Linked DNA regions of Astyanax mexicanus. The protein of the gene in region 1 interacts with the protein of each later gene in a pairwise test. Links are inferred from orthologs where the notes say so. Each region holds a gene or a part of one and is shown in the gene's direction. Other genes may lie near its edges.

Region 1 (10,052 bases):
GAGTCTATAAGAGTCTAGAGTTTATTAGTAATATCAAAAAGATATTTAATGCTTTTCCAAGTTCCTAGTTGCTCTTAACAAAAACTGGTATCTCCAGGAGTCAGGAGATACTAAAATGCTTTGCAAAAGCAATGCATCTGAGCAGTAAGTGCTTATTTGTTCAAAAGCACTAACACATACATTTGAAATGATAAAGGTATAGCATGTATTATCACACTGGTTTTGGTTGTTGGCTGTTACAAATAATACTTGCAACATATTTCAACATATGCAACATATGTGTTTTTAATATGGTCAGAGATGTTAAAGTTATTGATTATAGAGTTTAATAACCAGGTCCACTAAGATGACATTCTTGGCCCCTTGAGTAAGGCCTTAACCTTGTTGCAGTGGTCCTAAAGTATGGCTGTCCCTGCTATCTGTCTTCCTAATATGAGATATGCAAAGAGAGGGGTTTTACTATATTAAAGGAGTAAATTAACTATAAAGGCATATTTCATTAAAGTGAATCAGAAAATAAAAGTGCAACAGATTACATATAGAACTGTGGCACTGTACCAAATGTTCTTTTTCATTGCTGACATTTCTTAGTGTTCTTGCAGCAACAGCCCAAAAAAAATAGACCCTGATATGACCTTTAATCCACTGATGTTAGTGAGAGAGACAGAGGATTTCACAAATAAAACAATTGGGCTAAATTCAGACAGATATTGCCATTGTAAAGTGGTAACTCTTTGCCACTGCATGGACTTTCCCAAGGCAAAGCTGTTTGAGGAAGTGAGCGGAGATATGAGATCAGGTACAGTAGGTTGGTTATTACCTTTGTTCCTCACCTAAAACCAATGTTACTTCCTTAAGCAAAAATATCTTTATCTATAATAAGCCATTTTAGCTGCTATTCTCTCCTTTCTTGTCCATTTTGATCTTGAGCTGATTAATCTTAGGCTCCAAATCTTCAAGCTTCCTTGGTGCCTGAATACACAGTATCCCATCATGTGAAAGGGAGACCTGGAGCAGAAGTGGGTCCACGCCCATGGGAAGGATGTAGGTACGCGTGAACTCTCGGCTCACAAAGCCGTGGTCATCCATTCTTTGCGCGTGGCGGCCGGTGACCTCCAGCAGGTTGTCCACTGTTCGTACATTGAGCTCATCTGGAGTGAAGTGGCAGACGTCCAGCTGAATGCGGTACCAGTCATCGTCGCTGTTTACTTGGGAGAAGCCCCTTTCTAGCTGCTTGTTGATGCGAGGCCGGATGTAGTAACCATGGTACAAAACTGGGGCCATCAGGTCCTGAGGGGACAGGGCTGGGGATAGGGGGGTGAGGTCAACAGAGGGGATAGGGTTAGCAGTGAAAGTAAAAGCCAGCAGCTCCATTTGTGTTCAATTCTTTATGTCAGTCCTGCTGTTTTTCAAATGCATTACCATATTCTGCAAGTAGATTCTGCATGCATGTGTGTATGTGTAGGGTTTAGCAGGTAAAGGCTTGTTTGTGAATTTTGACATTAGCAGAACTAGGGTTGGGTGATATGGCCCTAAAATAATATTACGGTATTTCATGTTTTTTTTTTTGTTTGTGATAACGATACTCTTGGCGAAAAGACAAAACAATAAATTAAAAGAATACACTATTCTAGAATACATTACTGCAACAAAATGAAAATGAAATATTACTATTGCATACATTATTATATGGCACACCCATAACTGAGATATAAAAAATACAAGAATTTTATCAGATTTGTAAAAGAAGTCAATGATTCAGAATGTCATGATACTAAAAATGCACTCCTAATATCTCCATATATGCAGGATTAAAGTAAAATAAATGATACTGGACAGATATAATCTGTCTCTAGTAGATATATAATGGAAAATGAGAACAGTGTGAATTGTCCTTTTGTTAAAAACAGCAAAAAGTAGCACCTTGATGTCATAATTAGGAGTGGGTAATATGGCATGATATTTCAGGGTATAATATCGTTCACCATATTCAAAAATATTAGCAATATTATTGTCTACGATACAATATGTCACACCCCTAATCAGAACAGTATTCTGATTTTCCTACTACATCATCAGATCAGGCAAAAGTTCTCACAGTATGGGAAATGCTTATAAAACAAGAAAGTTTTCTTTACTTTGCATTTATTTCACTGTAGTCATATTTATTTAATTTGTTAATATACACCCATTCCTGCATTTCAGGCCTGCGACACATACCAAGGGACATCCATGCATTGCATGACAATGCAAAACCTTATGCTGCACACATAACAAAGGCATGGGTGCAGAATAAGAGGGTATCGTGCTGGACTGCCTTGACCACAATACAAAATGTGAGAAAAAAAATTAAAAGAAAAATGCAAAAATGATGACCATTTACTGTTAGACGTCTTAAGATATTGTTGCAACAAGAATTAACCAAAATAATGCCATTTAATTGCTTGCTATGCCCAGTGCCAAAACGTCTTTTAAATATTGTGAGAAGGAATGGCAATGTTGCAAAGCGGTAAATGTCTTAATGTCGCAACTTCTGTGGAATGTGTTACAGGACTAAAACACAGAAATAGATGTACAGCTCTGGAAAAAAATATGAGACCACTTAAAAATGATGAGTTTCTTTGATTTTACCAAATTGAAAACCTCTGGAATATAATCAAGAGAAAGATGGATGAAGCCATCAAACCAAGCTGAACTGCTTGAATTTTTGCACCAGGAGTGGCATAAAGTTATCCAAGTTATGCCAAGATGCATGAAAACTGTGATTAAAAAACTAGGGTTATTCCACCAAACATTGATTTCTAAACTCTGAATATGAACTTGTTTTATTTGCATTATTTGAGGTCTGAAAGCTCTGCATTTTTGTTGTTATTTCAGCCATTTCTCATTTTCTGCAAATAAATGCTCTAAATGACATAATTTTTCATTGGAATTTGGGAGAAATGTTGTCCATAGTTTATAGAATAAAACAATGTTCATTTTACTCATACATAAACCTATTAATAGCAAAATCAGAGAAACTGATTTAAAAAACTGAAGTTGTCTCTTAATTTGTTTCCAGAGCTGTACATTAATACATGAAATGAAGTTGAGCAGTTCATATTGTAATGCAATTAAAATTGTAAATGTAAGAAACACAGTGTTTTATTATTATTTGCATTCTGTATACTGTCCCAACTGAATTGTGTAGTGTTACAAATGCAGTTAAGTTGTTCAAATGCTGATCAATATAATTTTAAAATATCAGTTACGTCTAAACATCTCTCTGGTGTGGACATAACATTTAAAGCAGTTTTAAGCAATACATAATTCTTCTTCTGATATCATTGTGCATATCTAGATTTTTGTTAATCTACTAACTGAGTTCACTTCCTCATAGAGTTTGCCTGACAGTACCATAAAAATAGAACGTCCCTCCCCTCTATAAAACACCAGAAACTCTTACATCAGGTCTAATTACAAACAGTGTCAGCAGCGCAGGTCAAGCGTCATGTTTTTATTTTGATCATATACTGCGCCCTTATCTTCATGTATATATACTACCATTAATGACACACACTGTGGTTGCTCAGTGCTGGATATGAGATATTGGTTCATATTCAGTCCAGCAGTGGATGACAGTTATTTTTGTGTGGTAGCCTTGGACTCTTTGTCATGTGTGGTATTCTAAATATAAATCCTAGCCTGGGCCTTATATTTCCCTCCAGTATAAAAAGCTGTCATGGGGGATAGTGGATCAGGCAGTCATCACTTCAGTTGGCCCTTCTAGTGCAGGTTCATTGGCAATTAAACAACTCATGTTAACTTCATCCTCTGATATCACAAGTCTGCTGTTGAAGAAGTAGGGCAGTTCATGCAGTTTAAAAAAGTAAAATTTTTTCTTATTCAAAATGAAAGAGAAACTTTTTCTTCAGCTGTTGTTGGTTTAAAGATATTATTGAGTAGCCCATATCTTGTGAATGAAAAATAATGCCATTGATAGAACACCTTGAAGCAATTTATCTGGATTTATAAGACACTTATCATAGTTGCGCCCAGAAGGAATTAACTGACAGGAAGAAAATTTGGCGGGTAGTTGTGACAGGCTGAAGGATGGAGATAACCAACGTATGTGTGGAAAGTGCCAAGATCAACAGTTTGCTGTCATGTGTTGCACATCTATAGGGCCTGGTGTCACCAGAACACCTCTACAGTCAGTTTTAAATGCCCAGGGTTACATTAATAACGTCCTTCAACCAGTGGCCAATACCTTTTCAGAATGCACCCTGCGGTTCAACAGAACAATGCTCATTCATATTCTACTGCCATTTTAAGAGATTTCCAAAAAAAAAAAACACAACACCAGACCTATCCTTGATTAAAAATGTGTGGAATTCTATTGAACATGCTATAAACTCCACCTCTTCTGCAAAATTTGTTGAAATATTGTTAAAATTTAAGCTGCATGGAATAGTTTATTGCAGGAGACTGTTAGGAGACGTCTGGCTTGTTTACACATTACACATGCATTACACACTACTTCAATATGTGTAGCTCAATAAATACTTCCCACATCTTAATCCACGTCTTAATTTGCAATCATGTATTGTTGCTGGCAGCTTTTATCTTCCCTCCAAATAGCATAGCAATCTGAATACAAGTGAGCTTGACTTTTGATTGAAGATTCTCTTACCTTCTGCAAAGTTCTGGTCATAAATCCGTGCAGGAGTACACATCTCATAGTTCATACTCATGGGGTAAGCATGGGGAACGGTGCGGTCAGCCATGCTAAAGCATGGGCCGGGTGTCCAGTGCTGGTGAAAATGTAGCAGTCCTTTCAGGTACAACAAACAGGCAGGATTGTAATGGAGAGTACAGAGAAAAGAGAGGCAGCAAGTCTGTGCCCTAGTGCCTGGACCTTGGTAATAAACGGGTCCAGAAATAGCCTGTGGCGCACACACACGCTGGTGTTGCATAGCCTAAAGGGGGAGACACACTGAGTGATATAATTCTGGGCAGTGTTTTGGGTCTCTTTATTCAGAGTGGTTGGCTTTCTTCTAAAGGAAAGTAAATTAGCAGCTGTTCTGAGACTCATTGGAGTTAATGGATGAGTTGTCAACTTGGGGCAGCCACATATACACATAAAAGTGAAAAGGTCAGGAAGTCAGTTAAATACCCAAGGGTACTGTCAATGTTATGTCGGTGCATATCTAGAATTCTGCATAATATTCAATAGAATATACAATAAGTCATGGAACAATAACTAGTTTAATGTACCATGAAAGCTAAAGACTCCTGCCCTGCCCTGTAGTATATGTGTGTAGGTCTCCTGCATTGAATGGGTTTCTACCAGAGACGCGTGTATGTACACATAGACAATTCTAGCCAGACACTGCCGGTCACAATCATTACCAGCCACTGAGAGTGGGTAGGCCAGAGTGGGTAGGAGATGACTGATGACGGACTGTGCTGCTATGCCGACTGCGTAAGTGGCACTGTGCCGGGTGCTTGTGCCAGTTTGACTAAGCCCGCTGAGGCTGGCGGGCACCAGGGAAATGCTTCTTTGCAAGCACATTGACTCTGTATGGTGCTCAACCCTGCAGAATGATCCCACAACCATTCACCATCAGCCCACCGAACAAACTGGCCTCGCGCCCGGTGTTCTGCCGAAGACAAAAGACCCTCAAAGGGGGTTCAGACCTCAAACTACATAAAGCCAAATCAGGACATGAACATGATAATCTGCTCTGGCACACAGCTAGGCTGCTTGGTCCACAGTTTTTGTGCCAGAAAAGCCAAAAAACCAAAGGCTACACTCAGCACCTCCCATTAGATTCTGTATGGCAAAGTTTCCAAATGGGTATTCAGAGCAAGCCCTGTAATCCGGCCGGCATCTGCCTGAATGAAATCACACCACCGGTTTAGATAAATACGGAGAGAGGTATCTGGTAGAGAGGGATGAGACAGCTTGCAGAGGAGAGTGGGAGGGACGCAACGAAAGGGGGGCCATCAAACAGTTTACATCATTGTTCCAGAAAGATCCGCAGCTGGCTGGGCCTGGCTCTGTGACTGCTACTGGTGGTGTATATAAGTGGGCAGGCTGGGCAGACAACAGGTTTTTCTCCAGGAGGACAACGCTAGCCTTAGGTCAGAAGACGAAATGGACGTCGCCATCCAGCATCCCTGGTTCCGCCGCTCTTTCTGGCCATCCTTCTTCCCCAGCCGGATCTTCGACCAGCATTTCGGGGAGCATATCCCAGAGAGTGAGATGTTGACCCCCTACCCCTCATTGTATTACCCACGACCCTCTTTCTTCCGCTTACCTAGTTGGGTGGAAAGTGGGCTATCAGAGGTAAGCAGCTCTGACATCTGTGTATTTCTCCATGGTACATTCTATAACTCTATAACTCTATAAATCTACGTAATGTACGGCAAAAGGGTAACCTCGGCTGGAGAACCCCATACTGGAGAACGGTGTTGCCAGTGGTGTTCTCTTAATAAATGACACAGGGACTAATAAGGAAAAGTTATTTGAGAAGGTTGCTTTTGTGGATTCTGAGCTCCCTGCCTGGAGGTGAATTACCATTAATCTAGAAGACAGCTTAAGAAACCCTACAACAGGAAAATTAAAATGTGTATCTTACAACATTCCCACTGCTCTGAAGGACCATGCAGGACAAATGAGCAATATAAATGTGTGTTCTGTGAGTAGTTTTGTTGTCACCTCATATTACTCCTCTTACAGTGGCCTTGATTACAATAAATTAAGCACAATTATTTTGTGCTTTTCTCAGGCAAGTTTAAAGGGTGTTCATTGTCAACTTTTCCTTGCAAGAAGCAATTTTAAAGATGCCATTTTATCAATATGTTTGGTGATGAGCACATGTTGCTGCTGGAAGGCTCAGTGATTTCCCTGTAATAGAAGTCCTTTCCATCTCTGTCACTAAAGAGCAAGAAAAGAAAACAGATAACAGTTTTTTGCATACAAAAAGTTTATATATTTTTTTATTTTGTACTATATCCACAATAAAAACAACAGTAGTCCACATACAGAATAACCCTGCCATACAATATTATAATGTTAAGTTCTAAACAATGTCTTGTTATTTCTAGCAAATCATGTAATCATGATTATGTAAACTGTGTTTTAAAATTGGAAGGGAGCACTTAAGCTACATAAAACTGAATACTGGAAATCAAAACACATTCATGTTTTGTGCTGTCTTTTATAGATGAAAATGGAAAAGGACCGTTTTACCATCAATTTGGATGTAAAACACTTTGCACCTGAGGAATTGGCAGTTAAGGTCAACGGCGGTTACATTGAGGTTCATGCTAAACACGAGGATCGTCAGGTAAATACAAACAGCAGTGGTTTCTAACTCTGGTTATGGAGTACCCCTGTCTTGCAGAATTTGGTTAATAATTTTAACTTAATTGGATTTAATTAATTAGATTTAATTCAATTTAATTATTTTGATGTAATTCATTGAATATAATTTAAATAGATTTTAGACCAGTTTAGATTGATCGAATATGGTTAAACAAGAAAAACATAAAAAAAGTATGCCTGTCAAGATAAGAGATTTTATTAGACAACATACTGTCCCATGAAGTGCAATTAACAATATTATTGTAATTCTATGACTATTTTATGTCACTGATTAGAATAATGATAGAATAGCACAATAATGCAATTAAACCCATTTAAAGAACAATAAATTGTTAATGATTCAGACAATAGAAATGAAATTAGAATATCTTGAATAAATAAAACATAAATAAAACAAAAACAGATGTCCATACATTATACGATAAGTTAATATTGTAATTATTACGTATAGGAAGGGGTATTTTTCTCAATTTTTCTCCAACAAACCTTTTTGTCAAGTTGGTCCACTCTTATTACAAGCATTGACCTTCTGATGTAAGCGTTTTGTCTGGCTAACACTGCTCTAATATCATATTTCAGTCAGTATTCATTGTTTAATGCCTGTAAATGTATATCTTTTTCTCCAGGATGACCATGGGTTTGTCTCACGAGAGTTCCTACGAAAATACCGGCTCCCTCTCGGGGTCGACCCAGCCAGTATCACCTCTTCACTCTCTTCAGATGGCATCCTCATGGTTGCAGCCCCTCGCAAGCTCTCCGATGAGCCTGAGCGCTCCATTCCCATCACTCGAGAAGAAAAGCCTGCTATCTCTGGCTCACAGAAAAAGTAAAGCTGCTAGATACTTGCTCCTTTCTGTCTCCCCTCCGCTGTGGTCCCCCTGCACTTATCTTCCACCTTCACATCCCAAGTCAAGCTTTGAGGAAAAGCCAGTGCTAGCATTGAGCTGAACCTTCTAGAGGCTTGGCCTTTCCAGAGGCTAGTCCTAATCAAAGGGCTCATTTCTGAGCTAGCTAGTAACTGTTCTAGCACATGTTTCTGTGCTAAATAGTGATCACTGAATTGTCTAATTCGGTTGGCACATCAAAACCGTGTCCTCAGAGATATGTACATCATTACACCACAGGAGTATTGTTTGTGCCGCTCAGCCGCTGGACGCAAAACACATTTTGCTTCAGCAATCCCAACCACAACCACGCCAAACAAAAGTGCTCTTTGTCTTTTACAGCCAGTCAGTGGCAAACAATGGTGGCACGGAGTAGAGAATGGTGAGGGATTGAGTGTAGGAAGACTGGATGTTTGAGCATTTTTGTGATCAAGCGGTGAAAAGAAATTAGCCTACGAGGAAGAACACTGTGAGGGAATTTTCACTGAGGTAAAAAATGTTGTTTGTTTGGTTTCAAACGTTTCATGTGAAGTGGGAGGTGGTGTGCCGAGGAAAAATGAGTATGTTTCGTAATTTGGTACTTCCTTTTCATGATGGACTTGGGACCAGATGATACATGAAGATCAAGTGCAGGTAGCAACAAGGTGAGGAGAAATGTTATAGAAAGAAAGTGACCTCTTTTTTTTGGTAGTTTCTGTGGGATTCTGTAGACATGACTTTTCATTGGTTTGGATGGATTGATATATGGCGTCTGGAAACATCTTGTTATAAATGGAGCAGTGAATCAAATATGATGAGGTTTGGTTTGATATTGAAAAGCTGCGTTCCAAAGTCTAGATTGGCTCCATTTCTCAGCCACTTTGTCATAAAAGCCTGTCATAAGTGAAGGGCTCTTCTTATACAGCCTACAGCTGAGAAATGCAGTCAGGGTTTGGAGCAATAGACCTTGGAGTGCAGATAGAAAAAAAATGGGGATGTGGGAATTTGGTGGAAGAGATTATAATTAGTTAAAAATTATTCAGAGGTGTTTGGATTTCCTAAAGAATGTGTCTGCTGACTTTTTCACATATTTTAATGTGTTTCAATCAAGTATTTGCTCATATTCTACATAAAATATATAATACTACATTTTGCAAACAATAAAAAAGAGATTGGAGGTTGTTTACTATCTATAATAGCCATCTATTTTTACAGCAATGCTCCCAAAAGCAGACATCCCACCTCTCCCTTACCTCCCGGGATTCTCACACATACAAGGCATTAACTTGTTGAAATTAGTTTTTACAGGGCAGATTGTCTGCAAAAATATTATTGAGAAAGCTGCTTCAATAAGAAATGATGTGATGTTGTAACAAGGCACACAACGTAATACACTTTTGGAAACACTTTCTTTGTGCAAAGGTAAATGTGGACCACAGTTATTATATCAACTAAAAGGCACAAGTGAGGGGGACACACAAGTAGCTGTTTCATGTGTTCTTGGTTAGGATTGGTCTTTTACATTGTCCTGGGGTTAAAACTGCTTTTAAACATTCTACAAGGTTCTTTAACTAATACCATAGAACAGTGATGTATAGTCTATTCCACTCTCAGATTTTCATTCTAACCAACCAGCAGCACAATTAATAAACTCATGAGTTTTTTCAGGAACTGATAATGTGCTTCTGCTTGTCTGAAATGAAAACGAAAAAAGCCACACCACTCTCATAGAAGAACCCTTTTTTACTTCCCTAAAGAACCATATTTGTATAAGAGACCCTATAAACACGTAAATATCCTTTGCTTTAAAAGGTTCT
Region 2 (10,942 bases), on another chromosome or scaffold:
CCACTGAGAAAAATCAAGACTCAAAATCTGAAACTCTTTAAGATAATGAAAAAGAACCACTGAGAAGAACCTAAATTTAAAAGCTAAAACTCTCTAAGAGAATGAGAAAGAACCACTGAGAGCAATTCAGACTGAAAAGGAGAAATTCTCTAAGAACCACTGACTGAAACATAAACTCTAAGAGAACAAGGAAGAACCAACTTAAGGACTCAAATAAGACTTAAGTTTGTCAGACTCAAAAGAACCTTTAACCGCGTGATGCTTTTTTCAACCTTTCTAAAGTTATTTACACTTGTATTTTACCCTATTACATACATGCATTTTTTATTAAACCAAAATTGATTTTTTTAACTAAAGGATTGGTTGTTCAAACTTGTTCAAAGTTTTAAAACTTGTTATTTTTTAGAAAGCGCATGTGGTTCTTTTGTAAGTGTTAAGAACCCATACATTGGTAAAGAACCTTCATATCAAATAATGTTTTTTCAGAGTGGTTCTTTAAAAGGTTCTTCACAGTTTACATGGAACCTTTATGGAACTTTTAGAACCTTTATGGAACCAAAAACAACTATGTTGGGTGTGAAGAAGCTTTAAATTGATGAAGAACCTTTACATCACCTAAAAATGTTCTTTACACTCTAAAATCTTTTATACAAACATGATTCTTATATAAACAATGTAAAGAACACTTATCCTGGTAAAAAAAAAAGACTTTACACCAAGTGATTGTTGTTTGGACTTCTGAAAGTTTCCTTACATTCACAAATCTCTTCTACAAAATCTTAGTTTTTTTTCTAAATGTGAGTTCTTTCCACTTTTAAAAAACCCTCTACATCACTACTATATTCAGGGTCTCCTACCTGTTTTACAGGGCCCCTCACTCACGTTGAGTCCAGGACTGGAGAACGCTGCTTCTTTAAACTTGCAGAGGTTCATGTACGTCTTGCCGTCAGTCCCACACAGAGGTTCTTGTGACACACAAACGCACTGAGCTTCGGGAACACTTCCATCAGCGTCCACCACCTGCCCGGGTTCCAGCTTGCACTCCATGTTCTCTCCACAAACTCCGTATCGGACGTTCCTGTCCTCCAGATCACATGACTGACCCTCCAGGTTTCCACATTCGAAGCAGCAGCCGCAGATATCCCTCACCAGCCCGGCTCTGCAGCCCTGAGTCACCGGACAGAGCTCCGGCACACACTCCTCACACACACTCTCGTTCCTGTAATCCAGCTCGTCCGTGGCCTTGTAATAGTCAAAGGTCATGGCCAAGTCATCGTCCAAGTCGTCGTAGGTGTACTGAGGTAAACTCTGGCAGAGTCCCACACTTAGGAGCATGAACGCCATCCATGTCATTGTGCACCACATGGCTTTATTCTTTCTTTGAGTTAAATAAACTTGAAAACTTGCTTTGTACAATAATTCTACTTCAAATTGTTTGGTAAATTAAATAAAATAGATATTTGTATTTATATTAAACTATACTAAAGGAAAGGAAATGCTATAGAGCTAGCACAGAGAGATAACAGCTCAGAAAATGATGCTTGGATCAGCAAGTTTACCTAAGGTAGCCTTGGGGGAAATTACTACACACTGATGGTAAGTGTCAGAAACTAGGGAACAGGACCAAGTATTTAAATATTGGAAAAAGCAAATGCAGAAGCAAATGGAAAAAAACTCAACTATTATAGGTGGATCCAACTCAAAGACTGCATTTACGAATGTTTATGTAGCCGCAAATGTTCATCAAACTCAAAGTAGTTGAGTAATGTTTGGAACTATTAATTTTTATATAAAACAGACTCAATTTATTTACTTAATTCAAACTAATTATGTGATTATAGGATTAGGAAATCCAAAAGAAGAGGAAAACCAGAAATCTTAATGTCTGGAAAAAAGTCTCAATATTCTAGACATAGACAACCCTAAGAAGATTGCCTACCTATATTATGTTCCTAATATTCTCCAAATACACCAGAAAAATCCATCTAAGTGATCTGGAAACCCTTGAAGAACTCACAAGACAGTTGATTCCACCAGTTTCAAGATTAGTCTCCAACCAGGCATGAGCTCCAGAAAATGCTGACAGGTCCTGAGAGATGTTCTTCAACGTAAACAATGGTAAGCAATATTATCCCTGTGTCCTTTATACAATGTGTTCATCAAAACCATTTAAAAAATGCCATCCAAAAACACTTCAGTCTCTTCCAGACTTCCACTCAGTCCCAGAGAAAAGAGAGCAGAGTGAGCAGCAGCAGCTCTGCCTGTCCTGCTCAGGTTCCCACCCCCATCCTCCTTCTTCTCCTCCTCCTCCTCGTTCTTCTCCTCCTCCTCCTCCTCCTCTTACTCTACCTCCTGCTTCTGTAGATCAGCCCCAGGCTCCTTAAATCTTAACACCATCTGTGGACTAGAAAAATAAACAAAAAATACACCCCCGTCTCACGTTCCCAACCGTCTACCCTCTTGTGTCAGCCCCCAGCCCTATTCTGGTAAAGTCTCTAGGAATGCTGGGAAGTTAGACAGTTTAGCAAAGTAAAGTACAGGGATTATTTATATACCTTGGAGTACATGTTATTTATGATGGTTAATAAATCAGAGTAAACCCTTCAGACTTCAGTTTGACATAATTTACTACTGTACACCTTAAACAAAAGAGTTTTTGATTGGTTAGTAAATCTACCGAGTCTCTAAAAAACAGTAAATGGCAGTTCTAGTAGTAGAGGCACAAAATAAAAAAACTGTTAAAATATTAAACAAAAACTGCTAGTTTCCGGGAATAAAAGACAATGTTCTCTTTTTATTTCAACAGGATGGTAACATTCTAGCAGCAGAAATCTGTAAAAAGTAGCATTTTTCTGGAATCCCAGTTGACAGAATGTTACAGCTGATCCAGCCTTGTTTGCTAGCTTCTTTGCTGTTACACTGATCGCTCACTGAAGCCCTGCTGACAAGAGCTGCCAGCAGGGCCGCCGCTCTGCATACGCAGACAACGCAGCCAGCGTTAGGCCTCAACCATTTTGCAGTTGCAGGGAGCCAAATTGACTGAGAATGAAATGTGTTGAAATTATGACATTATTAAATTTAAAACCCAATGTGAATTATTTATGATACGCTCATCTTTTTTGTCTTTAAACATTGCATGGGGCACCTACTCTACTACTTAAAAGCGGCACGTTATTATTTTTGTGCATAATATAATGCCCCCACCCCTATTGCCTGAAATGGCACGGCTCGGTTTGCTCTGTTGGTTGTTGCCAGATGTGACATTTTCCAGTCAAATAAATAATCAAAAAATGCATGGAGGCGCTAAATCTTGCGCATGTTTAACCATTTTTAAAGTGTATGTGGCCATTCTATACAAAAACTTGTCCAGTGCAATATTTGTGTAAGTTAAAAACTTAAAATAAAATAAACAAATAGGATGAAAAATCGTAACTTATCTGGCAACCTTAGTCCTAACTAAAGTAGCAACGCTACTTGAGTTTGGCAGGAGACAAGTTCACCGCGCGAAGTTGCTACTAAATGGTAAATGGGGGGGGGGGGGGGGGGCCTCCCTGACCAGTTATGCTTAGGGCCTCCAAAACCTTAGCAGCGGCCCTGGCTGCCAGTGCTTACACTTAACATGTTTCCTTAATATCTGATGATACATCCTGACCATTTTTATAATTTACTACTGAAAATATAATCATTTGTGGTTCTTTAATGTCCTCAATATATAAAATTACAATGTAAAAATCATAAAAAAAAAAACATATTGATTGAAAAGAGATCTGTCCAAGATTCGAATTGGTACTCTATCTACATAACAACAGTCATTTTTGTAAAGCTTGAGAAAATATTAATACTTTTTAAATAATAGATAATTAATTAATTAATAGATATTAATTTTAAATAATATAAATTATGGCTCACAAATAATGGCACTTTACAAGTAAAGTAAAAAACCTTATCTTTCAATATAATATACTACTTAATATTTTTTGCCAATTCTCCTGTTTTTGGCATGCCACTGATGAGTGTGGTTGTTCAAAGAATGTTTTAAACATGGTTCTAACCTTTTACAGTACTATATAAAACCCATTTTCCTAGAGTTTAAATTGTTTGCACTCTAGGAAAAACTTACCATTGTTTAGTATCGTTTTTCTTCAGAAAGAAACACTAAACTAAAGCAGCATCTACTGAACCTGATTCCCTTGGAACTGTTATATCTCCAAAGCCTGTGCAAATTACCCCCTTGTTTTGATGTCAGCTCTAAGGTTCTACAGAAGTCCTCTATAATTAAATGGTTTAGAGGTAAGTAGAGTCATTTAGAGAGGGTTTGGTGTAAAACGCTTAAAAAGTCATAATTGCTCACAGTGGCAGTGAACAGAACACTGAAAAAAGCCATCTGAACCTCTCAAAAAACTCCCTCAAATTAGTTCAGTAAATGCTTATGAATGCACTGTCTGATGTCGCAGACACTTTTTAACACAGTTCTGCCAGAAGATTCTGGGTCTAAAACTGTGTATCATTTAAATAGTGGAAGGATACATGTGGGGTGGCAAAAAATAGTCCACAATGGGATTTCTTTTTCTAAGTCCCCTGTTGTGTTTTTTTCTGAGCTGTGAACCACAGCTGCAGTTAAATTAGTGGAGAATGTTAATGATGACACTCTGACCAAAATGATTGGATTGGATTTCAGCAATTCCTTAATTCATCCAAAAACAACCACAAAATCTCACTCACTTAGAATGAAGGTTAGTTGGGACAGTCAAAGCACCCAAATCTATAATTAGTGGCTATATTTAGCTAGAAGCTGATTTACACCATTGGATCTTTTCAAATTTGATATCAATTAGCAAATATTGTTGAATTGTGATATTAAGCATCTCTAGTATTTTAGTAGTAAAGTGACTCATAGAACTGTGACACTGTGATGAGACAAGAAGCCACCAGATGGCAACATATCGTCCACACTGACTGAAAACCTCTTCCTTTTAGAGTTTCATCAAGTTTTATTTTAAGTTTGTTGTAAAATTAGGTGACCATAGTTCAGTCTGGCTTTCTGGTCTTGGCCAGTATGTTTACTGTGCTCATACAAAGTCTTATGAAGCCTTAATAAGATGTTGTAACCCAGTAATTATAGGGTTTTTAGTTTTGAAATGTCTATAAAGTGATTACATGTAACACCTTTATACCATAAAAACAAATGTAACAATAAAGGAAAGAAAGTGTAAAAATCTCACATTTCCAAAAAAAAAAAAGGAAAATAGACTTGTTTTGTTACTTAAGTCACAAGAATGTTAATTTGCACAGCTTTATGCCAGGGAATTCATGTTTTTTTTGTATTTAATTTTTTTATGTTGGTACACCATAATTTTACTAAGTTCGGATCCAACTTCCTCCCACAATTCACTCTTTTTATTAAGCTTAAAATTAGCAACAGTGTTGCTACTGTTAAGTTCAGAAGGTAAATAACATAAGGTATATTTGTGGGAAAATATTTTAATTAATATTTTAAAAATATATTTTTTATTTAACCTTTTTTTTCTATTTTTTAACTAGAAGGTCCCTTGAGATTATTATTTCTTTTTTGATGGAGGATTAAATCTCATAACTGACTCTCCCTCAACTCTCATTATTGTTATCAATATAATTACATGTTTTTATGTACTAATAAAAGTGTATGTAAGTGTGACTACATGGTTCTCTTTTGTGAAGCAATTAAAAATTTGATATAAATTTTATATATATATAAATTCTATATATACAGTATTTCTTATATCCATATAAATATTTTTATCTTAGTTTTCAATCCCTATATATTATCTCTTTATATATATTTTGTCTCACAGTTTCAGTCTACTTTTTATTATATATATATTTATTATATATATATTCCATTTATTTTTATTTTTTTACAAATTATTTGGCTCTATAAAATATTTTTGTACACTACATATTTTTGTAGTTTTTTTTATGTGAATGGGCAGTCATCATTGCATATCACTAGCATTAGCGTTTTGCTTATTTTGTAAATTAACACCACAGATTGTCACAATTGTGCTGAACAATTGTAACTTACTATTTATTTATTTTTTTTTATTTCCATTTATTTTTATTTGAACAAATTTTTGTCTCTATGAAATATTTTTTGTACACTTTCATATTTTTTATGTGAATATGCAGTCATCATAGCATTTCACAAGCATTAACATTTTGCTTATTTGTATCATTGTATGAAAAAAAGCGAATTATTGCCAAACTGTTACCAAAATCATTTCCAAGTTGTCACTTAACACCACAGATTGTGCTGAATAGTAAAACATAGATATAATTCTCTCTCTCTCTCTCTTTCTCTCTCTCTCTCTCTCAGGTCAGCCTGGGCGTTTTTGCAGTCCGCCCTCATTGTACATCTGAAACTCTTGGCACGGGTTGTGCTGAATCATGGGATAGCGAACAAAGAGCGGCTGGGGGAAATTGACAACTAATGAAATAACTCAGTGGGCATCAAAAAGGGGAGGGCCAACCGGGCCTGCTGAGGGTGATGTTCTGGTTGGGGTTGTGGTCTTGGGTGGTGGATTGGTGGAGTGGGGCAGGTCGGGGGGGGGGGGAGTGTTGGGGGGGCGGTTGGTTGGGGGAGTGTATGTTGGCTCGATTTGTTTCGACCCCCCCATGGCAGCACAGCCAGCCTATTAGGCCTGATTATGAGTGTGATCTGAACTGAGAGAAGTTTTGGCAGAGTTTCCACCCCTGGGCTTGCTGTATATATTCAGCCCCCCATGCCACCCAATACAGACTGGCACACTGCAGAGCTGGTAAGACCCCAACGTCGGTTCCTGCCTTTATTTCTGCTCCACACATTACGCTGCTGCTTTTAGCTCTTGCTGTTGTTTAATTACTGAAAGTAATATTTAGTAACTGTATGTAATGTAAACTCTTATATAGAGGGATACTGTCATTACTATACATTTCTTATTCTGAGCTAAATTGTTTCAAAAATGTTTTTTTGGGGTTTTTTTTTACTGGACACTCAGTTTTGAAGTGTTGAGAGTGAACACAGCAGAAGGATTGTATTTATAATTGGATTAATTGGATTTATACTTTATTAAGAACATAGCATCAATTTTTATGTAAAATATGTTTAATTTTAATAATAAAGATTATTTCTCTCTTTCTCTTTTGATGAAATGATGTGACTTGCTGTCCTGAAGCTCGTCACACCCATCCTGGTTCACTATGGCAACTGATCACCAGAACCCTGCAACCAAACAGCAGCAACCAGGATCCAGTGTGTTTAAGGTGCACAAAATGAGAAATATATATTTGTTTGTTTATAATACATATCATATATTTCTGTATGGTATGTTGTCAGGATATTGTAATGTAATGTATATTTTCCGAATTTGCCTGCATTTGGTGTGATTAATACACTAAATAATAGAGCGCACACAGTGTTCTCTTCTATAGTTTTTGACTTTCTTCCGCTGTAAAGATCCACTGAATCTAAAATTATTTTTTTTATTTTATTTATTATATTAATTCTTTTAATTTTTATTATTATTATTAAAATATGAAGCAGTACTTGATCCTGTTTTTTTGTTTCTTGCACAGCTAGTTATCTACGAACAGGAGAACTTCCAAGGCCGCTGCCATGAGCTGACTGGGCCCTGTAACAACCTCCAGGATGCGGGCGTGGAGAAAGTGGGATCGATACTGGTGCTGTGTGGACCGTTAGTGTCTGTGTGTGTGTGTGTGTCTGTGTGTGTGTGTGTGAGAGAGAGAGAGAGTGATGGTGATGCAGTGAGAGTGGGCACATTCTGCTAGGACTGTGCTCGGATTTGAAAATGTCAAAAGTTAGTTGGAGAGATTTTGAGGTGGACAGACAGTCAGAGGACGATAGACAGACTGTATATCTGTCTGTCTGTTGAATAATCTCTCTGTCTCACAGTTTGTGTGACTAATAGATAAACAGAATATTAGTCAGATACACAAAAAACAGACAGAGACATAACTACACAGACAGACATGGACAAATAATAGATGTACAGACAGACAGACAGTGAGTCAGCAAGACACAGACATGGACAAATAGATACAGACAGTCAGATAGACAGACAGACAGTGAGACACAGAGAAATAGTCAGACAAATAAACAGACAAAGGCAGATACACAAAAATAGATAAACATGTAGACAGATATATATATATATATATATATATATATATATATATATATATATATATACACAGATAGATATTTATAGATATAGACAGATAAATAGATATGAATAAGGGTGTAAACAGACAGACAGATTGTGTTTCCATGAATCCATACTCAGAACTAGTTTTTGAGTGCAGTATCGATAGACACTTCTCTCCCACAATGCAATGCAAAACGGAAATGGAGGAGATACTCACGTTTGAAACAAATGAGAAAAGTGATGGCTAAAGATGCTAGCGCAGCAGCAGGTGCAGTAATGTATGTTGACACAGTCATGTTTATCAGTGCTTGTTAAGTGGGGTATTACATTAATATTTTGTGTACTTACCTGCCATACCTACACTATTAATATTAGTATCTATAGTGTGTATATGCTCTGAGCTTTTGCTGTGTGTGTATGTGTGTGTGTGTGTGTATGTGTGTACAGGTGGGTGGGGTATGAGCAGCCCGGCTGTAAGGGGGAGCAGTATGTGTTTGAGAAGGGCGAGTATCCTCGCTGGGATGCCTGGACCAATAGCCGTCGCAGCGACTGCCTCTTCGCCTTCCGCCCCATTAAAGTGGTAACTAACACAAACACACACTTCCCTCACTGACCTACAGTCTAGAACCTTCAGCCATCTTTACACTGCTCTTCTTAGTGTGATTTTTTTTTAGTACTGTGTAAAGTTTTTTCTTATCTAGTAAGTGTACAGTAACTGATTGGTAGCTACCCAGAAAACATGCTTATGTGGGACCACAATGTGTAACCCAACTGGAAACCAAATTGTTTTGTCCACTCTTTCACTGTTGGTCCCACATATGGATGCAGAGGTGTGCAGACATAGACATCAGGGGGTGCTAAAGCACCACCAACTCTGCCCTTTATCAACCAAAGTGCCCTTTTAAAACTTCTTTTTTAAAAATATTATTAATATTAAGATTTTACTGTGGCCGGTTTGAAAAGATCTTTTGAAAACCTGAGCGATTAAAAACGAGTGAAAACAGAATGCCCTGAAATCAGCTCGCACACACCCGACCTCTCTCTTCCTCTGTCACGTGATCCCGCGCGGTCGCGCGCAAGGCACACTAGATGCGCTGCAGCAGCAGTTCAGTTCAGCGAGTCTTCAGCACAGCACGCTCCCCCGTGTCCCACCAGCCAGGTAACATACACATCAAGTAAAATCCTACCGTTTGCCCTCTAAGCCCAACGTGAAATCATTTTGTTGTGCAGTAAAATGTCTCATACAGCACCAAACTACTAAGCATCTTTAGCCAACTGGTCACCAGATAAACTAGCCGCTCTAGCCCAAATCAACGATAGATAGCGTTTTTTTATAATGAAGTGTTCCACGTGCGCTAAAAAGTGCCCTTTTTCCCCCCCCGAGCACTTGTCCCCCAAAATGTCTGTGCACGCCACTGTATGGATGCCCACCATAGTTAGTGATGGGACCAGGAGGGGTTAAACATGGGCTCCAACTGGGTTGTACACTGTACATGAGGCCTACACTGGACCCTTGTGAGACTGAGATAAGCTGAAATGATTATAGCCCATTTGGAAACGCCAACTGGGTCCCAGCCAGAACATCCAATCAAAGCACATGCCCATCTAGAACCCTCCTAGCTCATGTTCCACTCGTGTGAGCACCACATGAGAATTTTGGCTGTGTTAATCAAAAGATCTCCAAAGCTCCAAAGTTCTCCTCATGAGAATCCAGTGTTATATACAGCTCTTATCATATCAACAGCAGGTTTGGTAATTAAGTGTTTAATGATGTTAAATCAGGAATGAACTTGTGATGGAATTGAACACATCCACTGGTTCACAGGAGAAATCTGGGATGAACTAAGCCTTGTTTTTCCAAACTAGCTCTCAAGATCCACAACAAATATTTTCTTCAATGTCAGAAATTATTTGTAATTTTAACTCTATTCATGTTTACCTGCATCTGTACTAATGTAATCTGATGTTTTAGTGATTTTAAATAATGTCATTAGGATCTAAAATTATGCAGTCTATTAAAGAGCATCTCCTTCAGTTCCTATAGCTCAGTCTGTGGTCTTCTTGTGCCATTTTAGGACAGCCAGGAGCACAAGATCGTGCTGTATGAGAATCCCAGCTTCGCAGGAAAGAAGATCGAGATCATAGATGATGACGTACCCAGCTTCCACGCTCACGGCTACCAGGAGAAGGTCTCTTCAGTCCGAGTGCAGAGCGGCACGTGAGTATGACCTCAGTCACTTTGATGGACAAGAGCACGTATAAGCACGTATACTACAACCATATTGGTGTTTCGTAGCAGCTGTTGCTGGCCATTCTACTTAATGAGAAACTACTGCAAATACTGTAAAGGTAAAACAAAGTGGGCTGTGAATGTTTTTACTGTGCTGAAAACTGCATGATGGAGCTACAGTCTCTCATCAGGGTTTGTAGAGTAAATTACTCTCATTTCTCAACTCACAATTTAAGTGAATTTGAACATGAACTTCTTCATAGATATTTAAAAAAAATGCTAAAAAAAAAAATAAAAAAGTTTATTATTTGAGTAAATACTCCCATCACATGGGATACTTAACTTTCTCAGCAGTTCTCAGCCAGCATGAAGTCCTACAACACTATAGCCAGTCAGCCATCATATAAGATAATACTGAATACCCAAAGGAATGGCTATACCCAAATAGGCAGAATATTAAACTCATCATCACCTCATCTTCACCCACAGCTGGGTGGCCTACCAGTACCCTGGTTACAGAGGCTATCAGTAT
Region 3 (10,640 bases), on another chromosome or scaffold:
GTTTCCTTTCTTCACACATAACTCTTCTTCACACCAAAAAGTTCTACTTGGTCTTATCGATCCACGAAACTTTCTTTCTTAAGTAAACTGCAGACAAGAGGCAATCTTCTTTTTTGGGTAGCAGAAGCTTTCTTCATACAACCCTACCATGTACAGAATTGTTGTTCAGTGTTCTACTGATGGTGGACTCATGACCTTTAACCTAAGCCAGTGTGAAAAAGGCCTTCAGTTGCTTTGAAGTTGCTCTGGGTTCCTTTGTAACCTTTACTAGGAGTTATTAGGATTTTGTGTGATAATCTGAAGATGATTTAGGTCATATTTATGCAGAAATGTAGAAAATTATGAAGGGTTCACAAACTAGAATGCACCAACCCTGGTGACAATAAAGTAGATTAAAGTATACTAAGCAGTATTATGCTAAAGTGCACTAAAGTGATCTTGTAGCCACATTATTATTATTATTAATCAGTATATTTAAAGAGTGCTAAAATTGAACAACTTTTTTGTACTTATTATACTTTTAGTGTACTTAACTGTACTAAAATGGAACTATTTTAAATATACATCTTAAGTAACATCTAAACATATTACTTCATGTATGTAACCATATATTTTAAACATGCTTACAGTAAAATTACAATACATTTAGTGAGTATTAGAACTGTATCACTATTATAGTACAAATATGCTTCTTGTTCCTGTCTTTTGTAAGTAGCACCTTTCTAGTATACATCTTTGGGTATAAAATATATGTTTTAACATACTGTACTACAATTTTTAGTGTGTTAGAAATTCAAATTCAATTTTATTTTTTTAAATTATTAGTAATTTAATTTACTTTTTAAGAAGTTACATGATACATTGTACTTTAAGTGAACTACTGTAACAGCTGTTTTTAACATACTTTGCTGAAAATGTACAAAAGCATATTTGGAAATAAGTATTTTAGAAGTATACTGAATTACATTAAACTAAAAGTGTACTTCATAGTAGTCTATTTTTTTTAAATATACTATATTGTTCTTTTTAAAAAGTATGATCAAAGTTTACTTTCAAACATTTGATGAAAGCAAAATAATAATAATGTACTTTTAATATATTTAAATATATTTTTATATATTTTTAGTTTACTACATAATTTGAACAGACAAACTGTCCCTTACACTGTGCCAAAATTTCTTGATGAACCGACTACTAGAAACTCTTCAAAATGACCTGAAATAAACTCTTTTTACATTGACTTCCATTGAAAGTTTACAAGGTTTTTTCTCTCTCCTGTAAAGTTGCTGTTTTGGAGATAAGTGTTTTTCATTGTACAAGCCCTGGTGGCATGGGGGCCCTAGGTGGCCACAGTTCCAGTATGCCTTGGATCGGTTCTGAAACATGATTAAACATTCACCACCATTCTTATAAAGTCTAAATCAAAATATTTCTTTATGATTACATTTATCACTTTAAACCCTTTGTGAATGTCATTTATTAAACCTCAAACTTTGGGTGGAAATATGGAGGAATTGCCCAGAATTTCCATCAGCAGAGTAATACAATGTTGTACCACACATATCCAGTAGGGTCCAGTCTGGATTTAAACACAACACATCATAAATCCAGCAGATGGCACTGTGACCTCAATAAAAATAAGATTGACTAATAATAATAATGCTGAGATGATGCTTTGGGAATGTATGAATGGGCCTCCATATCAAGAACAGAGGTGAAGGACAGTAACAATGAGAAAATCTGTTTAAATAGGTCAATGGCGGTACAATGTCATTGCTGGTGATCTCATTCGATTTTTCCTTAAAATTCCTAAAAATTCCTAATTTTTGCTTTTGTTCATTTGAGAAAGAAGAGTAGCAAGAACTGGTAATTCTATATCCCTAGAAAGAAAAGAAGGAAATGGCTCAGAACCCACAGAATAAGTGTAAATAAGTCATTCTAAAATTAGGGGAACTTTTTTTTTATCTCCCACTATCTAATAATATTGCTAATTATCACTAAAATACTATTAAAAATGCTTGACCTAGATTTTAGGCACATTTTATTCTTTATTCATATGAAATTAACTAAATGACTCAAAACCCTCACATTTTTAAATGTCTTCACTTTCTTTTTTTACAAATCTAAAAATTCTTCTAAAAGCTCAAGATTAGTTACTTTAATACCACAGAATATCTATTTTCTGTAAAATATGTCATTTTAGTGTCTCTCACCATCTTCAGATCAACTCTGTTACCTTTTTTTTAAAACTATAAGATATACAAATATAAAAACTGCATAAAGTGAAAAGATGTGTCAAATGTCTAATCTTATTATTTCATACAAAATATTGATGACAAATAAAAAAAAATAAGTCTCTTAATTATCGAAAAACTGGCATGGTGGCCAGTACTAAACTTCACTCAAGATACACAAGATAACACCTTACAACTTATACAGCTGTTCTAACACTGGGGGGTTTACACCCCTGATATTAGGCATGGTATCAACATATTCATGTTGGGATGTTGGGGGCTTTATACTGCTGTAGTTGGTGACCATATACTGTAGTTTCAATATGTATATACATATATATATATGGTTTCTCCAGAGCTTCCTGATCTGTTGACAGTGTTGATCTGTGGAGATTACAGGCTAATGTATAATCTGTGTTTAGCCAACTGACCCCGATTTCAGCAGAGGGTGCTTATTAACACCTCCAATACCAGTACAAGGGGTGTTACGATACTTCAAAGTTTATTTAAAATCCTAATTTGATATTTAAGCAACAGCACACAACAGGGAATGCTATAAGGTATAATATTGACACTGCTGTGCAGCGGTCTTAGGCACAAGGCCGCAGGCGAACCAACAATCGGCTTGTTTATAAACACTCTGCAAGCTAAAATAATTCCATTGCTGCTCTGTTTGTAGCTGCGCTGTTTGGCTTGTAAGCGCTGCAACGTTTCTAGGTTACCTGCATGTGGTGGAGTAATACATTGAGAGCTTCGGTTACAGTAGTGCATTACCGGCTGATAACGGTACTCGTAGAACACCTCTCAGCCAATCACATTGCAGGGTCGGAACGAACTGTGGTATAATAAATAAATATTAATTCATGCTGCTTTGACACAAAGATGTGGGAGTTCTCATAACACTTACCATGACGTCTGTTTACAGATAAAAATCTACCCTTCAACAACAAGAGCAAATCAGCTTGCTGCTTACACTGCGAGCGGAGGAGAGTTAGCATGTGCTAGAGGCTAAAACTCCCTCTCGATGTGGAGATACGTGCAAGTGCAGTTGCCATAACAAGCTGACAAATCAAGGTTGATGTGCAGAATTTTTTGGGCATAATGCGACAAACTATTATTGAGATTTATTATTGAGATAATCTAAAATTTGAGCTTCAGTTTTGTGTTTTGCAATAATGAGGGGAAAACAAAGGCTTTAAATCATTGTTTAGTTCATTATAAAATGTTTGTTATAATTGCATTTGTGAGCCTGTTAAACTCCCAAAGGTTTGCACATATTCTTTAACAATATTTCAGAAAAAAAATAATAAATCTGATGTGCATACATTATATTGCCAAAAGTGTCCTCTATACAGCCCCTGGAAAAAAATAAGAGACCACTACAGTTTCTGAATCAGTTTTTCTGATTTTGCTATTATATGGGTAAACGTTTGAGTAAAATTAACATTGTTCTTTTATTCTATAAACTACAAACAACATTTCTCCCAAATTTGATAAAAAGTATCGTCATTTATAAAATTTAGAAAATAGTAGAGAAATGGCTGAAATAACATAAAAAAAGATGCAGACCTTTCTCAGACCCAAGTTCATATTTATATTCAAGTTTTAAGAGTTCGGAAATCAATATTTGATAGAATAAACCTGTTTTTTTAAATCACAGTTTTTATTCATGCATCGTGGCATCATGTTCTCCTCCACCAGTCTTACACACTGCTTTTGGATAACTTTATGCCTACACTCCTGGTGCAAACATTCAAGCAGTTCAGCTTGGTTTGATGGCTTGGGATCATCCATCTTCATCTTAATTATATTCCAGAGGTTTTCAATTTTGTAAAATCAATGAAATTATTATTTTTTTTTCCAGAGCTGTATATATATTTTGTATATATATTTATATATAGCTCCCTCATACTAACCGTTATGATTTGTCTGCATCATCCTCCAGACCTCTCATCTCTCTGAGCTCAATGAGTCATTGAGACTCTCAGAGGATGAAGGCTGGACCAGGGTCAGAGCTCATCTTCAGCTGTCTCTTCTTCATTTATCTCTACTTTAAACCTATTTAACCTTAAAAAATCTTAAAAAAAAGACTGGTAGCACCTTCTATAATAACTAGGCACGCATATATATAGTCAGTCAAACTGGGAGCAGTGGTTTATTCCCAGTTGGAGAAGAGCATATCCTCCTGTCTGTGTCGGTCTGCCTGGCTGCGTGTGCTGCATTGTTTCTCCACCGTCCAATGGCACGAGCCTTGTCCATTGTCGTCATCCAGCGCCTGCGGTGCCGCGCGCTGATAGGCTGATGCTGCAGCTACGCCAGCTCTTTCATTCTCATGCTGCCATTGAGAAGATTTGGGAATAGGCGTGGTCAGAGCTGTAGGACACGCCCCCTTTTATAAAAGTTGAGGCTCAGCTGGCGGAGATGGATAGTGTGAGAGCTGTGGATGGACTCAGTGAGTGAGTGTGGAGCTGCTGTTGCTGTTCCTGTTGTTTAATAGGCTGAAGAAAGCTCGTGAAGCCCCCAGGCTGAAGATCTACATGTCTGTGTATTGTCCTCAAGTCTACTGGTAAGATATTAAGATAATATGCAATATTTCTGGTTATAATGGAAGTAAATGGTCTGTAAGGGTCTGTAGTACTGTAGAGTTTTAGGGTGCAACAAGCAGCCATGCAGATAACTTATGCAGGTTAACGCTATTGTCGTGTAGTTTAGCGATGCTCGAGTCATGTTTTTTTATATAAAAAATAAATAAATACACGTGTTTTAATTTCGTTTCGTGCAATATTACGTACGTACGTTTACGTACGCGCTTTAGTTGAAACGCAATTTTACGCATTTTACGCGTTTTTGTATCGCATCAATCAAATCGATTAAACGCTAATAACTTACGCGATTGTCAAAGCATGCCGCGTTTACTGCTGCTTTAAGTTGTTGTTAAACTGTTGATTTGAAAACCTCCTGGAATAACGTTACAATCAAGAGGAAGATGGATGATCACAAGCCATCAAACCAAGCTGAACTGCTCGAATGTTTGCAGCAGGAGTGTAAGCGTAACGCTATCCAAAAGCAGTGTGTAAGACTGGTGGAGGAGAACATGCCAAGATGCATGAAAACTGTGATTTAAAAATAACAGGGTTATTCCACTAAATATTGATTTCTGAACTCTTAGAACTTTACGAATATGAACTTGTGTTTTCTTTGCATTATTTATGCTCTGATAGCTCTGCATCTTTGTTATTTTAGCCAGGAGAAATGTTGTCTGTGGTTTGTAGAATAAAACAACACTGTTCATTTTACTCAAGCATATACCTATAAATAACAAAATTGTAGAAACTCTGATTAATAACAACTTAAAAAAGACAAAGTAGCCCACGATTTGTAGTTAGAAAAATAAATACAAATATGTAGCTATGTTCTATATATTTTAAACTTTTATTATCACTTGTTGCTCCTGCCCTATATATCTAAAAGTAATAAAACTGGTTTTAAATTACCTTTTTCCAATCAGTTTTCATCCATAAAGAAACAGGCTGTGTTCCTGATCTATGACCCCTATGACAAGACTGATGTATGTAAATGAGCTTTGCTCTGATTTGTTGCTCTCAGGCTGAAACACTGCTTTTAGCTTCATTCTGCTGTAATGTCTAAAATGGTTTGCTTTGTAATGTATGTTCGAATGGTGAAAGTTTTTTTTTTTTTTTTTGTGCAGGATTGCATTTTTTTTTACCAAATTTTATGTGTCCTTAAAATATCCAAGATTCATATAACGTGTGTAGCAACCTTTAATTAAAAAGGAGTATTGTTATTAGGGACTATAAGTTGGTTTGAATAGCCAAAAGCTCAATTTTACATGATTTTGGTATCTAACATGCATGTCGTTTTTAGAAAAAAATGGCTTTGTGTTTACGTTTCATTTATTTAATTTGCACAGTTCCATTTTTCTGGAGCAGATAATCATGAACCTGTTGACACCATACCTGATGCCAAACCTTCCTAATGGATAAGGCTGCCATAATTAAGCTGTGGATCAGTAGAACTGTGTTCTCTGGAATGATGGTGCTCCATCCTTTACTTTTGGGATGGATTGATGACTTCATCCCCAGTATCTAAGGCTTTCTAACGCTGTTGCTGCTGAATACAAATAAATTCTCACATTAGTCCTTCATAATATATTAGAAAGTATTTCCTGAAATGTGTTTATGTGCAATTGATTCCCCCTCTTTTATGATCTACGCTCAGTAAAACTGTGAACTGAAATTCACCAGAAAGCTTTGCTTCAGCCAAATACATAACAGCATAATCCATATATTAGGCAAAGTGTGTGACTCACAGTGGAACATACATATGTATTTGAGGCAAAATGCTGTTTCCACTCCAGTTCAGAGCTGCGGTGGATGTGAGTCACAAGATTGATACCTTCCTATTCTGCACAAAAGGTCACATTCCACAGTGAAAGGACTGCTCCAGTGTACTCTGTACAAACTACAATATACTATCATACAGTAGAAATAAAGTCTATAGATTTTTGTGGATTGGATCTAAAGATTGTTGGTCATTATGGAATAACAACAATGCAAGCTAAATATTAGTGTAATAATTACAGTCGTTTTAAACAGCAGACTGCCTCCCTCATGTCTGATCAATCTAAATTGATTTGAATGAGAAAAAGCTTATATCTACCTAATTCTTCCAAGGTTTGACTTTCATACACCATATACAGTATCTAATGTACATGTAGTTAAAACATAACTGTTTATATTTCTTAGTGTATTTGAATTGAGCCTTGGTTGAATCGTTTGGAAGGTTAACATTAGAAATTTTGCATTGTTTTTATATCAATTCTGCATTTTTTTTTTATTTATTTTGCGCTTGTTGCATTTTATTTTGTTTAGTTGTACGATGTTTGGAAGTTATCATATTTTACAGACTATAGGGCGCACCCAATTATGCGCTACACTGAGGAATCCTGAGTCTTCTGGTAAGCCAGGATGCTATCAGCTAGCGGTTTGTCCCACATAGCTTGTTTTAACATGGTAAACTACAGTATAGACTACAGATCGAAATACACAACTCTGAACAGTGAAAGAGCTAGCGCTGCAGTTAGCGGATAATGCCAATACTGCTCCAGCCTTGGTGCTGGAGAAACTTTACTGAAACTACTGTATAACGCTGTACTTCAGCGGAGTGGCTTTACTGCTCCTTACAACCTGACTGGTAAAATTCATACATAATGCGCACTGATGATTTTTGCGAAGATTAAAGAATTTTAAGTGCACCTTATACTCCGAAAAACACAGTATCTTAACTACATTTCTTTTTCATGAGTTAGACATCCATGTGAATGACCCACGGGCTTATTTTTAATGTTTTTACATTGGCTTAAATCCACCATTACATTGATTTTACGTTAGCCTCGCATTTGGCCCTCTGATATTGTCACAAGAGAAGACCACCACCCACTGACCACTGTTTGTATGTGAGAGTTCTTGCAACGCTCATCATGGCATCCATTCCATGTTGGTCACTGAGTGAACTGACTTGCCTATACGGATCTTGGCTGTTCTCAATCAGGTCATCTTTTAACATGATACCAGACTGGAGTTCCAGCCTATGTCCTTGGTAGTACTGTCCTCCTATGAAGACTCTTTCTTGGTAGACTTTAGTTATATAATATTGAATATTGAATATAGTGGTGTAGTGGTGCCTTATGGTGATACTGTTTCAGAAAGATTCCTTCTTTTGTATTTAGTGGTGGAGCCAAACTTGATGGATTTGTTTTGCACTGTGCCTGTTGGCTGCTTTTATTTATTTAATTAAATGTTTATTTTTGCATTGGTTGTTGGGTTGTACAATAAATCTAATTGGTATCATAATATGTGTTTTCTTAATAAACTCTTTAAAAGAGCTGCAATAACATCATCATGAATACCAGCAAACTGTGTTACCTGAATGTAGCAACAGAGGGAGCTTATCATGTGACACACCAAAGCTGGAGGTAGAGTGAGGTAGAGGTTCAGATTCAGACTCTCACACCAATCTACTTCTTATACTGTGAAGAAAAGGCGCTTAAAATAATTTTGGATCTTAATTTTCTTTGGTCTGTATTAGACGTGTGCCATATCATATCGTACGTGATAATATCGTCAAAAAATTTGAAAATCGTGAACGATATTATACCCTGACATATTGTGCCCCATCACCCACCCCTAATTATTGCATCAAAGTACTACCTTTTTGCTGTTTTTAGCAAAAGAAAAATTCACACTGTTCTCATTTCCCATTATATACTGTATCTACTAGAGACAGATTACATCTGTCCAGTATTATCATTTATTTGACTTTAATCCTGGATGTATGGAGATATTTGAAGTGCATTATTATTAGTATCTTGACATTCTGGATCATTGACTTCTGTTACAAATCTGATAAAATTATTATTATTATTTTTTTAATATCTCAGTTAGCCATATCCTATTGCATGCTATAATAAAATTCGAAATAATTTTCTAATTCAGTGTTTTGTCATATCGCCAAAAGTATCGTTATGAAAATACCATGAAATATCGTGATATTATTTTAGAGCCGTATCGCCCACCCCTAGTTTGTAATGTATACCCGTAGTTGTTTATATTCAAGAAGTTCTTTCTTTCTAGAACCGTCTTCTGTGTTGTTGTGGCTCAGAAATGCAGCCTGAGCTTTGGGACGCAGTTCAGGTTTGCACTACTGATGCAGCCTATTCCCCTGATCTTCACACTTTCTGAGCTTCTGCTCAATGTGTTTAGCAGCACAAGCTAGCTTGCAGTGGAAAACCCCAGTGAGAAAGCAGGGGTTGTGGATTTAGCTCGTTTTTTTTTTTCAGCCTTTGAGCATCTGAAGGAAACAATTAGCTTACTTCAGAGGAAAATGGAGGAGTACACAGGCCTCACACCACTTTTTTCATTTTTTGATTTTTATTTTTTTTTCTGACTAGCTTTTTACCTGTTGCTGAGAGAATTCATAAAAACACAAAAACAAAACAGCAGGTTAACATCGTGACCCTTCATTAGCAGTAGCAATGTGTCAGTGTTGCATTGTTTTTACATAATCACTTCAACCACTATGAGTTGTGTTTTGGGCAGGAAGTGTGAACCTAACCTCCTAAAGTGAATTTCAGCCCTTGTCTTGCTGCGTCTCTGCAGTTAACTGTTTCTCTGCAGTCGCTGGTGGTTTTGTTTGCAGAGGCCCTTGATCTATCTTCTCACGTAGCTCTCCTCAGCTCGAACCGCTTGTGTTCCTCTCTAAACAGCCTCGAAAAGCTCTCTCAGCCCCGTCACGCGTGTTTTTAAGGAAACCTGGGTGAATCTGTAGGTGTCTGACTGAAGGTAACTTTGGGTAATTTTCCTTTTTAACATTTGCTTCACCTCTTTTAAGACCGAACCACAGTAAAGTGTTGCTGAGTTTCTAGTTTGAGGGGGTTTCCTCAGATTTTTCAAAAATATCTGCATAATTCCATGGTTGACGTTTCAACATGCACCATAGAGAAACTTTATCTTTTTTTTTTTTTGTAGTCACCTTGACTACAGCAAAAATATAGTATTTACTTTTTTACTATCCAACCCCAAGAGTGAAGATGCAATTAAATGGTTTTGTGAGTGATGCCATGGATCCATAAACCATTTTGTGGTCATTTTTAATGGAAGTTAATTGCAAAGTTTATCCATTTTTTAATTAATAAGTTATATTTGGGTACTATTGTGCCAAACTACACCTTGCATATATGCCTCCTGCTGTAAATTCAAGTCTACTAAGTTTGTGCTGTTGTTGATTAAAACTGATTTCTTACATATTGATTTAAATTGCTGCACAAAACTTAGTTTAGACTTTTGTTGGATTGTATTGTAAAATAGTTAAACTTGTTATTGAATTTCCCATTTTATATATCTACTAGAGACAGATTATATCTGTCCAGTATCATTTATTTTACTTTAATCCTGGATATATGGAGATATATGGAGGAGTGCATTATTATTAGTATCATTGAGTATACTATCTGGATCATTGACTTCTGTTACAAATCTGATAAAATTCTTTTATTTTTTAATATCTCAGTGAGGGGTGTGCCATGTCATATTGTATGCAATAGCAACATTTAATTTTCTATTTGAATTTGTTGCAGTAGTGTATTCTTGAAATATATATTTTTATGTCCTATCGCCAAGAGTAATCAGTATTACGAAAATACCAATAAATATTGTGATACTCTTTTAGAGCCATATCGCCCACTCCTACTGTAGTGCAGCGTTTATATAGCTAACTGTGAGGTAGAAAAAGTGGGTGATATGACTGAATAAATTATAATTAATAGAGATATACACTGAATATTTGACTATTGAACTTTGCACAAAAACCTTTTTTGTGTATTTAACA

What was found.
Region 2: the proteins of cryabb (region 1) and crybb2 interact in a two-hybrid assay, tested with the Homo sapiens proteins (2 studies listed by BioGRID and IntAct). The link is inferred for Astyanax mexicanus from reciprocal best matches to the Homo sapiens genes CRYAB and CRYBB2.
Region 3: the proteins of cryabb (region 1) and lbh interact in a two-hybrid assay, tested with the Homo sapiens proteins (2 studies listed by BioGRID, with this or other methods). The link is inferred for Astyanax mexicanus from reciprocal best matches to the Homo sapiens genes CRYAB and LBH.

The regions. Positions count from the first base shown.
Region 1 is NC_064408.1:26,483,006-26,493,057, forward strand, and holds the start of cryabb (crystallin, alpha B, b), read left to right. Parts: upstream 1-5,925; 5' UTR 5,926-6,139; coding exon 6,140-6,331; intron 6,332-7,211; coding exon 7,212-7,334; intron 7,335-7,998; coding exon 7,999-8,202; 3' UTR 8,203-10,052. Other genes in the region: hspb2 (heat shock protein beta-2), read right to left, coding at 889-1,304, 4,673-4,766. UniProt on the Homo sapiens protein: May contribute to the transparency and refractive index of the lens. Has chaperone-like activity, preventing aggregation of various proteins under a wide range of stress conditions.
Region 2 is NC_064419.1:32,323,722-32,334,663, reverse strand, and holds the start of crybb2 (beta-crystallin B2), read left to right. Parts: upstream 1-6,666; 5' UTR 6,667-6,794; intron 6,795-7,190; 5' UTR 7,191-7,215; coding exon 7,216-7,278; intron 7,279-7,590; coding exon 7,591-7,709; intron 7,710-8,627; coding exon 8,628-8,760; intron 8,761-10,255; coding exon 10,256-10,398; intron 10,399-10,899; coding exon 10,900-10,942. Other genes in the region: kazald3 (kazal-type serine peptidase inhibitor domain 3), read right to left, coding at 858-1,365. UniProt on the Homo sapiens protein: Crystallins are the dominant structural components of the vertebrate eye lens.
Region 3 is NC_064414.1:6,390,132-6,400,771, forward strand, and holds the start of lbh (protein LBH), read left to right. Parts: upstream 1-4,658; 5' UTR 4,659-4,771; coding exon 4,772-4,800; intron 4,801-10,640. UniProt on the Homo sapiens protein: Transcriptional activator which may act in mitogen-activated protein kinase signaling pathway.